Regions from separate parts of the Mus musculus genome. Here all the other regions are reported to be linked to region 2. The links are microRNA targets in miRTarBase. Many come from high-throughput screens and were not tested one by one. Region 2 holds a microRNA gene; each other region holds the end of a gene's coding sequence.
What was found. Region 2 holds the annotated microRNA mmu-miR-223-3p (UGUCAGUUUGUCAAAUACCCCA, at 1,976-1,997, shown strand). A microRNA usually pairs through its seed, bases 2 to 8, with sites in the 3' UTR of a target mRNA and lowers its output. Matches are read on the target gene's strand: a 7mer-m8 pairs with bases 2 to 8, a 7mer-A1 pairs with bases 2 to 7 and ends in A, and an 8mer does both.

Region 1 (3,151 bases), not on the chromosome of region 2:
TTGCTCTGTAGACCAGGCTGACCTACAACCCAAGAGAACTGTCTGCTTCTGCCTCCCAAGTGCTGGGATTAAAGATTTAAAAAAAAAAAAGCATCCTTTTTATATAATATAAAATGACATTACATTATCAGTAGTTCAAAAGAAGCCCTGGGTATTGACGGATTTCATGGATCGCAAAGACAAAAGTATGAAAATCTTTTCCTTCTGGCTCTCGGGAGAAAAAGCTCAGCTATAAGAAGCTGGGAAAGACACAAATGTGAAATAGAAAAAACGGCTTTTGGTATTGATGTTTACTGTAGAAATATCAAAACACCGATTCTACTTAAGAATACAGTTCTTTTATTTGGTGGAGTGGTTGTGACATGGTCTCTCTATGTAGCCTGACTGTCCTGGAACTTACTATGTGGACCAGACTGGCCTCAACTCAGAGATTCTGCAGCCTCTGTCTCTCCTACATCGGGATTAATGGTGTGCACCACCATGCCCAGCCGAAAATGCAGTTCTTTAACATTTCCTACAAGCCAGATGTTTTTCACTAGGTGTCCCATCAAGTTTGGAGTTAGCTGGGACGCTCCTGTCCTGCACTCAATGTTCCTTTGTTCTTCCCTTCTACCCAGCATACTCCATGTGACTTCGCTATCCCAGCATGCAGGTCCCGGGCTCCCTGCACACAACCTTCCCTGCCTTTACCTGGAGATGCGCGCCGCATGCCGCTTTTGTTACAGACTAATTACGCTGTCAATCTATGACACAATATTACAGACGTTTCTAAAGACGAATGGTTGATTAAGTCTTCATCTCTGACATAAAAGTCACCTAGAAATCACTCTAAAATATCATATTCAAGTGTGTAAGGAAAAGGTTAATGTTATTTTGATGAATTCTGAATTCATTCAACTGCTAAATCACAGGATACGAGTCCTGGACTGAACTTTTTAAAAAATAGTTTACACGGGCAGACTGGTTTACTGTGCAGTTTCCTGTCCTGTCAAGCCCCTGGCAAGCTGGAAGGGAGGCAGGAGGACACTTCCCAACATCTCTGGTCCTGCTGGAATCCCATGGTTTCCTGCTGGATGTGACACCAGCCCAGAAGCTGACTGGTAATGAACAAAGATGTGAAGAAAGATCATAGAAACTAAGAAACAGCTGGGTACTGTCAGGCACTGCCACAGGGAGAGAGAATACAGTCAGAGGTGCCAGGAAAATGCCTGGACCAACGAGAGAAGGAATTTTAAATGACTGCCTACTTTCCAGTGAAATTCATATCCAAGAGGAAAGAAAGCTTCCAGATTTATCATTACCCTCAATAGAAAGTAGGACAAAACCAAAAGTTGGCGCCATGGAGGTAAAACCCAGATGAAAACCGAAGTCTCTTGGCATGGTCTCCCAATCTGAAGGGGCATGCCGGACAATGACATTTACATCTAAGTTATTTTACTGAGATAAACATAAGTTCAAACTTGAGTCTTGTACTTTAAGACAAGGAATCAGAAATTTGCTAATCGGTAAAGAAAAACAGCAGAAAGGCCTTTGTGAAGCCCCACGGACCGGAGAGAAGTGTATAGAAGGTAAGCACACACACACATCTTTCACTGGTAAAGACAGCCAGGGTGGAAGATGGTTAGAAACCAGTGTCAGACCAGAGAGCGCATGTTGGTCCCTTTTTAAACTGCTCTCCTGTAAGTAGTGTTTGGTTCTCTTTGTAAAAGAGATTACTCTGAAGTCAGTCCTTCTTCAGCTCTTAGATTCCTAAGAAATCAAAGGGATGCACACTTTGTGAAGTATTTTGGGAAAAGAGGCGGGACTTAGAGACAGGAGGAGCCATCAGCTACACTGTCTGGAGGGGGCAGGGGTAGATAGCCACTGTTGCTGTACTTCATTTTTAAAAATAACATCTGGGGTGTGTGTGTGTGCGTGTGTGTGCAAAGACCATAGCACACATGTGGAAGTCAGAGGACAACTTTTGGGAATCGGTTCTTTCTATCCTGTGAGTGCAGTGACTCAGACACAGGTCATCAGGCTTCGCGGCAATTGCTTTTATCCACTGAGCCATCTTGCTGGCCCCTTACTTCTAACAATCATAAATAAGATCATCTGGCAGCTGTGTTTGAAATAAGATACACACAACTTCATGAATTAAATCCCTTATGATGAATGACAAAATTAAATCAGAATTAAAAAAATAAATTTACTTAAAAAGAAAAATGGGAAAAGATTCATAACCTGACTGCTGTTCCCTTAACTATATCTACTATGAATTCAAATTATGAGAAATCATGTACTGTCCCCAAAGGCCATGTCACTACAACATAGGAACTCTAAGTCATTGGCATCAACTTTTGAAATGAAAGGAAGGAGTGGGAACCAATGAGAGAAACCCTGGCAAGGACACAGAGTGAGCAGGTGCTTTGGGCGTCAGGCTCTGGCGGATGAAAGACTCTGGTCGTACACTGAAGGAGGATAGATATCTGGTCAACCATCTTGGCTCCAAGGGGAAAGAAAACAACTGGCAGGTTCCAAGGAGGGAACACCCTGCAGCCTCCACACAAGTCTCCTCCTCTCATCGCAGGAGCACGTGCTCCGCACTTCAACGAGGTCTCCTCAGGAGGATTTGCTGTCAGCCCAGAAGTGACGATACAAGAAACCTATAAGAATAGCGCCCACGATGGGGACAAACCAATACGCCCAGGAACTGGAAAAGAAGGAAGAAAAAGCAGTATGTTAAGAATATTCTAAGCAAATAATTGAATGTTTTTCAGCGCTTATGTTTAATATACATGAGACAGGGGTCTTGATTTATCTTGATTTTTCTCTTAATTTAATTGCTTTTACCATAGAGTATTTGAAAGGAAAAACAAAGCCAAGTCTACATTTATTTGTGTATGTGCAAACAAGTGCCCAGGCATGATGTATTTGTGGAGGTCAGAGGACAACGTGTAGGAGTTGGTTCTCTCTTTCTAGCACATGAGAACTTAAACCAGCAGACTTGGCAGGGGTCTTCTTGTTAAGCTAACCTGCAGGGCCCTAAAGAGCCCCTTTAAAAAAAGATGCTAAAAATAAAAAGAATCTGATATGCAAGACATGGTTGTGTGCTTTTAATCCCAGTACTCTGGGGGGCAAAAGCACGTAAATCTATTGAGAGTTCAAGGCC
Region 2 (3,151 bases):
TACCAAGCTTATGCCTTTCAATTTGCGTCATGAAGACTGACTATGTAGTCATCTATGTCTTCATTCTTATGGGTCTGACTAACTTTAATCAACTAAACTTGCTTCTCTTATATGTATTCCTCTGAATAGGTGTGAACTGGAACATCAAGAATGAAAATGAAATAGTCCCTTACCCAGCTTAAGGACTGACTTCTCCATCAATCCTGGAAAACAGTATTTATAATAATCTATTAAGTCAGTGCACTAGAACTCTTTAGCCCCTTTCATGGCTCTTTTCCAGTGTTCTTGGGTTATGTGAGGTCGGATAGGGCAATTGAGAGGCTATGGATATCTCTAAAGTGTCTAGCTCTCCTTACAGCAGATGATAAGCAGAGATGCTGTCAAGAAAACCAAAACCAATAACCCATTACTCCTTTCTCTTTTAATCACTTTCCTTGGCTTTTACTAGCTCCAGAGTTGGAAATAAGGTCTCTTTAAGCTCCCTTCTAAAAAGCTCTAGAAGTCTCATCCAACATTTTTCAAGACCTTGAGATGTAAGATTTCTGTCTCTATTTCTAGAGAAGACAATTGATGCCCAAGAAAACTTTAAACCTGGGTAGGACAAAATTTGATACTATCAAGCATTTTGAATAACAGGATCATGATGCTAAACAAAATATCAAATAAATTGAGATGGCTTGGCTCTTCTGGCAGCTGCCCTGGTAGCTATGAGTTCAAACATCTTAATACTTCCCTGCAAAATCCACTGCCTGTTTTGCTCTTTGTTGCTGTTGCTCTCCCTTTTGCAAGGGAATATAAAAAGCAGACAAGAAAAAGTGGTGGGGTGGACAGCCAAGGGACACAATGAGCTGATGGATGATATAATTCCCAAACTGTAAACAACTTGTTTTATGACCTTTTGGAAGTCTTTCCCTAAACATCAGACTTCATTTTCTCATTTATAATCTTGAATGGGTAAAACTAGATGACTTATAAGGGCATTTTAATATCATTAATTCTTTACTGCTTATGAGAAAAGGCAACCAAGTTAGACAAAGCCGGCTAAGGCCACAAGAAATTACTGTTTCAATTCTGTTAAATAAATTATCTATCTTTTCCCCTGTTAGTATCTATCTTATATGTTTAATTTTAAAGCACATTTTAGTCACTTTTATTTATGTACAGGGGATCAAATACAGAGTATTGTACAAGTTAGGTAAGTGTTCTGCTACTGAGTTTTATCTCTAGATCTTGATTGTTTACTTTTTTGTTTGAGAAAGGGTAGTATTATATAGCCCAAATTGACTTTAAATCTGAGGTTCTCCTATCTCTGTCTATGAAAGCTTGTATGCACACATGTACTATCATACCTGGCTATAGCCACAATTTTTGAGTATTTGTTAGGTAACAAACACTAAATTAATGGCTTTATATGCATTATTACATATTCTTGCCATGATTTCATGGGCATTTTTGTGGCTATGGAAGAAGTAGGTTTCAGGGACATAAACTCATTTATTTAAGGTGTTCAGCTAGTTAATGGTAGAGGTAGAATTCAAATCCAGTTTTAAAAATCAACATCTAGGTACATAACCAGGGTAAACAGAGCATACAAGAAGTTGATAGGAGGAAGGAACACATAAATTGTCCCCGAGGACAGAATGATGACAATTTTTTCCTGTTTCAGCTGAATAGAAGAGTTAATTGAGGCTTGGGCCACCAGAATCTCCAGACAAACACCCAGGATCCCCGTTTTTGTTTGGAGCATTAGCGTGTTTTGTTCACTTCCCTCTTTTGGTGTGTCTTAGTCAGTCATGTTAGTGTCTGCCATTTGTCTCACACTTAGGGTAAGATATAATCACCCTATTTTTTTCTCTTTCCAGTTGCACATCTTCCAGCATGTTCTTGCTGCCCAGTGGAGGTTCCTGATCTGGCCATCTGCAGTGTCACGCTCCGTGTATTTGACAAGCTGAGTTGGACACTCTGTGTGGTAGAGTGTCAGTTTGTCAAATACCCCAAGTGTGGCTCATGCCTATCAGCTCCAGGTCCAGGACAGAGCACATAGCCTGCTGCCTACATATGAATGCTTATGAAACATGAAGCTCTCTGGTGTTATTCTATGTCTTTAAGGGAACTATAACATTTATTCAGAGAACATCAGAGTAGGAACGATGCAGCTCTGGGGTCTACAAGTCTGGTATGCATCTGTGTACATTGTGAAAATGCCATGGACTGCATAGTGGTACATGAGGGATACAGGGAATGAGAGTATTATTTGATTTATTATTAATGTCTTCTTTCACTTTCCTCTTCTTGCAGCCAGAATAGCAGAATTTTCATACAAGCATCATGAATTCTATGAGAAAGTAGGAAATAAATATCCACTGTCTGGCCTTCGGAGCACATCTTAAGCTACCTACATTTTCTCTTTTCCACTTTGCTTTTATCATTCTTAAAAGAACCTTCTTGTTTATCTTCATTGGGCTTTCAGACACTACCAAATTCCAATTCCTCTTGGCACTATTGAAAGTTAACCTATACTTTTCTTTACTCCTTGGCTAACCACATACTGGTATGTGCTATTATATGTCCTACCATCCAACACATCTTCTAAAGTTGTCAGTGAATTTTTCCAGGGTATGTTCTTGAATTCCCTATTATATTGTAAGAATCTAGAGCTTATTATATTCAGTTGATTGCTGTCTCTCATACCATTGTCCAACATTTTAATTATTAATAAATATTTACCAATTAATTGATGTTTTACTAGTCAATAACCTTTTGCTATATAGGTCAAATACCAACCAGGGTTTTGCGAAAAAAATAAATCAAACTGTGGGTATTCTAATGCTATAGTGTATACAAGATGGTAACCAAAATGGATTTTTTTTTCCTCTGAGAAATAAGATTTAGGTCTGGGGCAGGAGGGCAAGAAGAAAGAATAGACTCAGAGGGAAAAATTTTTTGAATTATTGGTTTACACGTGTCTTTTTAAACAGAATTTTCTGAGCCTTTAATATTCTATCATTGCACTGGGGTGAACTTCTAATATAGAACTATAAAATGAAGCATCTCCAATCCCTCTCTCCAGAGTCTAACATTTCATAACATATATTTTGGCAAGCTTCTTTAGAGAAATTCCATACTCTCCCTTGGTTCTGGAGAAATTCCA
Region 3 (3,151 bases), not on the chromosome of region 2:
ATAGTGAAAAAAGGGGCCATCTCCTTGTAAAACAATGATAATTTTAACATAATTGGCTATTGGGCAATTGAGTGTTCTGGCAGGTTGATTTCAGAAGTGAGAGACCCAACGGTAGGGTTTGCAGAAGAGACACACAACAACGGTAAAGCACATTTGCATAGTTTAGCTTTTAGGAGTCCCTTCTCATATATTTTTTTCCTCAATTTTTATTACCTCATTCTCCAGGAAACTGCCTTGGGGTAATTTATTTTAAAAATCTGAATTGATTCTTTTTAAGGAAGAATAAGTCTAGGTAAGCATACTGCACCTTGCTTTTAACTATAGACAAGGCTTTGAAAAGCTATATTATATGTAAATATAAGTGTGTGAGTCATATCTTAACGTGCTAGGAACATTTAAAGACTGAAACCTTCCATAGAATTTTTAATATAAACTTATTCATCTGTTCTTACAATTTTAGATGTAAAAAAAAATCAGATTTTCTTAAAGTGGGGCTACATGGCTTAGATTCCAAGATCAGCATCCATTGACCCAAATCTCATAAAAATGGCATCTGATTCAATGTGAGGGAGAGACTGCTGCTTCTGATGTTAGCATGGAAAATAAGCAACTTTACTCTTCAATCTGTAGGTCTCTGAGGTCAGCTGCCATTAAAAAGTAGGGAAGCATGGGAAAGCCAAGTTAGGAGCTGACTTATTTCCAGAGTCTTTGCCACTCACCGATGTTACCAATGCACCATTAATGTGTTGCTGTAACTAACTTGCCATCAGTAACTAATCTAGGTGAAAGAAGCCAATGGTTGGAATGTGAAGTTAGTGCTATATTGCTCTGAGTAGCATCCTTTGGGATCAGAGCATGAAGGAAATTAGACTACAGTGCATGGGAAACAAGAGTAATGAGAAAGGTTTGCATTCTCTGTCCCCAAACTCTGGAAGATTTGGAGTCAATGACAGGATTTGTATAATGGCCCTGAACTTGGAAATCTCTCACCTCTGAAATTAGGCTTAAAAAAAATCTACTTACTCAGTATACACCATTGTGAGACTTCTGTAGTCAGTTTACACGAGTTGTTTCTCAACAAGAAAGGATGCACCTCACAATCGGCACCGCTGAGAATAACAGGGGAAGCTCTTCAGTGAGGGTGGGGCGGGGCATGGTGACTTAGGTGGAAAGGGTTGGAAATCTTACCACTGTAAACACTGGAAACTCTTTAAAAAGTTTTGCACTGCTGGACTAAAGGGAAATTGCTTCTCATCTTTATTGGCTGGATCTCAGCAACCCAAGATTGCTTAAGGCTCAGACGTTCACTAAAGAAGTCTGAACATTTCTTATCTACAACTGGACAAGCAGTTGACGTTGAATTTTTGTAAGTATAGCTGAAGTTAACCTATGTGGGCATACAGTGTGTGTACTATTTGTGCTTAAAGGCCATGAATGAATATTCAGGCACTATCGGCAAGACTAGTTGTTATTCTTTCTAAATCCTGGTGTGTGAGCACCCGGGTGTGTGCACAGATGTGTGCCCTTCCTGTGTCTGAACAATTCAGAAACTCAATATTGAGAATGTTGTTCTCATTGGTTGAGACATTCCCTACACCCTACATGAACACGAGGCTTATACATCTTTGTGAATTGAGGGCTGGCGATAAGAATCAGTGGCTGTAAACAAAGTCACAGATTGAGTGACTAAAAACTCAAGAGAGACCCAACACCATAATCACTACAGAAAACAGGAACTGTATATCCAATACCGTAACTAGCAACACTTAGAATGAGCAATCTCTTTGGAAAGAGGCGAGTGAGTGGATGCGAGCAGCCAGTCTCCACTGGGGGCTGCTGACGTCAGCACCTCGGACAGTTCCAAAACAGCTTTTCCCTCAAAGGGCACAACAGAGTTTTGTTTTCTAAGTGTCCCTCTCATTCCAGGGGGTGTGTTGACAATCTGACCACCAGCTAACACTTGTCATTAAACTGTAGTAACACCTTCTTTTCCTCTCTCCCCAGAACCCAGGATCTTTCACCCAATTCCCCAGCACCCTCCAGTCACACAAGGAGACTGTCTTACGAACACCTGGTGTGGATGTTTTCACTCTCGCTTCTAATTGGTTGGGAAGCAGCATCTGCCACAGGCACCGTTTAGTTTCATTTCCATCCCCTGCGTCTCACAGGAAAGAAATGGTCAATAGTTCAAATAAAAGAATCGTCCTGGTCAGCTCCAAAATATGGCTACTTGCACGGTAATCAGAGCAAGTCTATCAAATCAGTGGTTTCTTTATTCCTAAGAGGAAGGGGCTTTTCCTAAGGGTTATGGTTCTACCGCCCAAGGAACAGCTGTACTCATCACAAGTAGCTGCAAAGGCTGGCACACCAAGAGGGTCTGCTTTGGCTCAGAAACTCAGTTTGGCTCCTGCCACCCCTGGTCACCCCACTGCGGGTCTCAGTGGCATGTGTTCCACACACAGTTGGGCAGTCTGCTTTTACTTAGGAGGTATCACAACCAGAGGTGGTCCCCGCTTGGGCCTCCACATGAGGACCTGGGCATCGTTGGCATTGGGCTTCACTAGTGCGTTAGGGGGGATGGGCTCCATCCGGCTCAGGATCCGGGGCTGCTCCTGCTGAGTCCTGCCCACTAGCCGGGCCCGCTGCCCCAACAGCTGAAGAGGGTCCACTTCAATGTCCACTCTCATCCTCCATTTGATGGTCTGCAGTATGATCTTTTCCTTGGTGGTGGTGTTCATGGCCACCAGCCATGTGGTAAAACTTTGGTCCCTCTTGATCCTTGTGAGCAGTGGCACATTGCTGTCACTCACTGGCACTGCCCATGTCACGCTGGGGTAGAAGTTATCATTCATGCTGACGGAGAACCTGGAGATCTTGTTGGTGGGGCCAACCAGGGTCACAGTCTCTGTCGTGTTCCCGTACCATGGGTAGCTCACCCCGTCTGAGTCACTGATGGCTTTTACTCTCCCTTCCCTCAAGTCAGGCAGTTCCCAGCTTGACCTGGAAAAGCAGAAGGGATACACGAGAAAAGAAGAGACTCAATGAAATTTTTATAAGCTGGAGACGTGCCCACCACTTACTAAGACAGTCAAATTGGGCAAAATGGGAAGTTTGGAGGGAGGAGGCAGGTTGGGGTCAAAAGTTCTATGCT
Region 4 (3,151 bases), not on the chromosome of region 2:
GGTAAAGGTGGCAGGCTCCCCTCACAGGCCCCTCTCACAGTTATTTGTACACTGTTTGGAATGTATTTCAGGATTTTTTTGTTTTTGCTTTGTTTTTCCTTTAAGGTACACTTACACATAATTTATAGCATCTTTTTGGGGTTTGAGAATGTACAAGTCAGAGAATTGCCACCCCCGCTCCAAGCTGTACAGCTGTCACCACCACAGAGGAAGCCCGTAGCCATTGTTAGTCACTGGGGTGCTTTACTCCAACCCCTCCTAATGATGAAATGCTTTGTCTCAGTGTTGCATATTGAAAGCTATATTTTAACTTCTCAAACAGAGCAGACAAAAGGATCGGCAAAAGGAAATGGACAGTTTTCTGGCTCAAATGGAAGCAAAATACTGCAAACCTTCCAAAGGAGGGAAAAGAACAGCACTCAAGAAGGAAAAGAAATGATGGAGTTTTTCTCTTCCTGAGTCCTTATGTGTCAGTGGTACAGTGTAGACAAAATGATGACAGCCATTAATGTAACCTTTGAGAGGAGTTGTCTGTCCCGCCTAAGCCGAGCAGGGTTCATCGACCTGATCTTAGTAGTTTCTAGAATTCGCCTAACACTGTGTGAGGGTTTCATGTGAAGGATGTGTAGTGGTGATAGTTGGGAGGGTGGGTCTGACATTTGCTTTTGTGGGCCCCTATTTAGAATATTAGTTTCTCTTGCTGCTGTGCATGCACTGACGAGAAACACTCCACCTATGGAGAACATCCTCAGAACACTTGCTGAACCGCTGACTTCTAAATAAATGCTACCGTGCTTTTGGGTCTTAATCCTACACGGATCTTCTTTTCTTGGTCTACTGTTAGGTTTTGTCTTCTGTCCTTGCAGTAGGAGACGTCAGTGTTCATATTATTGCAAACTTTTCATAAGACTGTATATGCTAAATAAAGAAGAAATGACAAAGGTCTGGTGGATTATTTAAATGACTCCATTGGTCTATGAAGATAAAGTGTTTTATTTAAAGGACTTAAGTAACCTAGTCAGCATTGTAACAGACAGGCTGGCTTTGGCACACATCCTGTCTTTGCAGGTCACAGGCTTAGGCATTTCACTGGCCTCTTTTGAACTTTTTATCTACAAGAGTGAGAGCCAAATTCATTAAATTGCATTTATTAAGTACAGCAGGATTTTTATGTGTTTTGAACTGTTTTGTGTGGCTTCAGATGAGTCTCTCTATGTAGCTCTAGCTAGCCTGCGATTTGCTATGTAAACTATAATCAGGTTTTTTGAAGATGAATACTAACTAGCTTTAAGGGGACACATACACAAAAGGGTAAGGAACTAGGCTAATGACCTGAGGGTACTCTGAGTCATAGCTGCTCAGAAAGGCCACGAATGTAGATCTGATAACAGTGTATTCATTGTACAGACTTCTGAGAAAGATGCTCATTACATCTTGAGTTGATAACTGTTCACTATAGTATGTGGTATATTTGTTAAGACTGTTCAAGTCTTCATTTGTATCGTGCAAGTAATAAGCCTCTTTCCATTGAGCATTATAATTTAAGGTGGACACATCACACATTTAGTTTGTGATCACAAGTACAATAGAAGTATTTAATATATAACTCAGTGTGGGTTATTTGAAACATCTATTTCATGGCATAAGAACTTGGAATGGTTTAAGTCACCTTCAGTGGACAACCATTTGAATTTAGCCACTTTGAAAATCAGTAATGTCAAAGTGGTGTGATAATTAAGGCAATAGTGGCATTTTAATAAGACAGACTCAAGCCACAGTTAACACCACTGCTGCGTTCCCAGCGCTTGAGGAGCTGTTGGTGCTACTAGAGGAAGCCCTCCAGTTCCACTGCTCTTTGAATGGAAAACTGGCTCAGTGAAGTGCTTACAAGTATGAAGACCGAGTTCATACCACTGACAAAGCAAAACAAACCTGTCTTTGCGCACAAATGAGGATCTCCAAGTTCAGTGAGAGATCCTATCTCAAAACATGAGAAACAATTAGGAAGGGCACCCAGTGATCTCTGGCCTATACATGCACGCACACACAATTGCAAACATGAGCACACAAACCTGATGTGAGGCTGATCTAGGGAAGAAACATTAGTTTACACCAGTGTTGACACCTTTAGTTAGGTCTTAATTCATTCTGCTTTTTAACGAAAAGGCTTGGCTAGCAAGGTTGTTCATCAGATAAAGGCACCGATCCCATTCCCACCCCGCCAAGTTCGATGATCTTAGTTCAGCACTGACTATACTCCTCCCCGCCATTCATACACACAAAAATACATCTAAAATGTAATAAAGAACTTAAAGTTTAGGAATGACATTTATTTGATGAATATATCAGATTGTTGGCAGCACTTTCTCCTAAAAATATGTTAAAACTGAGTGCAGTTCTCCAGGAATCAATATAAACAGAAATATTCTGAACCCAGTGATCTGAATCATTTGTGTGTATGTAATCTCACTGAATTGTACAAGAATTGAACTGGTGATTAGTTACAGACAACATGAGCAGTGATTTGGGGTGGTTTTCCATTGTCAAGTCTTTGGGTACAATCTTTACTGCCCCATGGAGTAGGTTAACTAAAGCTGAAAGAAGACAGTAACTGCATGCAGAACAGTTAGTTACCAGTGCAGTCTTTGGCAGATACTCTGTAGTATTTCTCGGACACTTGTACCAAGATAACTTGACGGACCAAGCTGCTGTTTGCAGGAGCTGTGCATCATCCGGTGCCTGAATGCTGGGGCATGAAAAGCCTCCATGTGCTCCCAAGTCTGCTGCAACCTTGCAGGTTCTCACTTGCCCTGTGGTCATTGCCTGGTTCTAGAGATGGGTCCACCTCTGCTCTGAGGTTTTGTAGACCCATGTGACTGAGGACCTGTCGGATACAGAATTGCACAGAATAACAGTAAATAGTCTATATTTGATAATAAAACATCACATGCCGTGGACTTTTACATAAAGTAGTAGTTGGATGTTAAAGTTGGATATGGTCTCTAAGTACTGAGAAGTGTGTATTCACCAAGACATTAAAAACCATGTTTACACAGTTCACCCTATTTAGAAAACTGCTAGAGTCTAAGAAGTAAAAGAAAGCTGAGTGTGGTGTCACATACTTTTAGTCTCAGCACTGGGGAGGCAGAGG

Region 1: miRTarBase lists Cyb5b as a target of mmu-miR-223-3p. The part of its 3' UTR that is shown has no 7-base or 8-base seed match.
Region 3: miRTarBase lists Fam78b as a target of mmu-miR-223-3p. The part of its 3' UTR that is shown has no 7-base or 8-base seed match.
Region 4: miRTarBase lists Dnajc9 as a target of mmu-miR-223-3p. The part of its 3' UTR that is shown has no 7-base or 8-base seed match.

Annotation. Positions count from the first base shown.
Region 1 is chr8:107,183,119-107,186,269 of GRCm38, reverse strand. Cyb5b (cytochrome b5 type B) reads right to left here. Exons shown (of 5, transcript NM_025558.5): 5 at 1-2,692. The coding sequence ends at 2,602. Among named protein-coding and RNA genes, the nearest start is that of 4930517G24Rik, 21 kb to the left of the region's middle.
Region 2 is chrX:96,240,909-96,244,059 of GRCm38, forward strand. Mir223 (microRNA 223) reads left to right here and starts at 1,909; the gene lies at 1,909-2,018. It overlaps F630028O10Rik (RIKEN cDNA F630028O10 gene), which reads left to right. Exons shown (of 3, transcript NR_030718.1): 3 at 130-2,734.
Region 3 is chr1:167,078,386-167,081,536 of GRCm38, reverse strand. Fam78b (family with sequence similarity 78, member B) reads right to left here. Exons shown (of 3, transcript NM_175461.4): 2 at 2,070-3,000. The coding sequence ends at 2,478. It overlaps Gm33610 (a long non-coding RNA gene), which reads left to right. Exons shown (of 5, transcript XR_865715.3): 5 at 2,005-2,085. Among named protein-coding and RNA genes, the nearest start is that of Gm33610, 25 kb to the left of the region's middle.
Region 4 is chr14:20,382,650-20,385,800 of GRCm38, reverse strand. Dnajc9 (DnaJ heat shock protein family (Hsp40) member C9) reads left to right here. Exons shown (of 5, transcript NM_134081.5): 4 at 1; 5 at 323-1,163. The coding sequence ends at 439. It overlaps Fam149b (family with sequence similarity 149, member B), which reads right to left. Exons shown (of 14, transcript NM_001024512.2): 14 at 2,310-2,884. The coding sequence ends at 2,817. Among named protein-coding and RNA genes, the nearest start is that of Dnajc9, 4.7 kb to the left of the region's middle.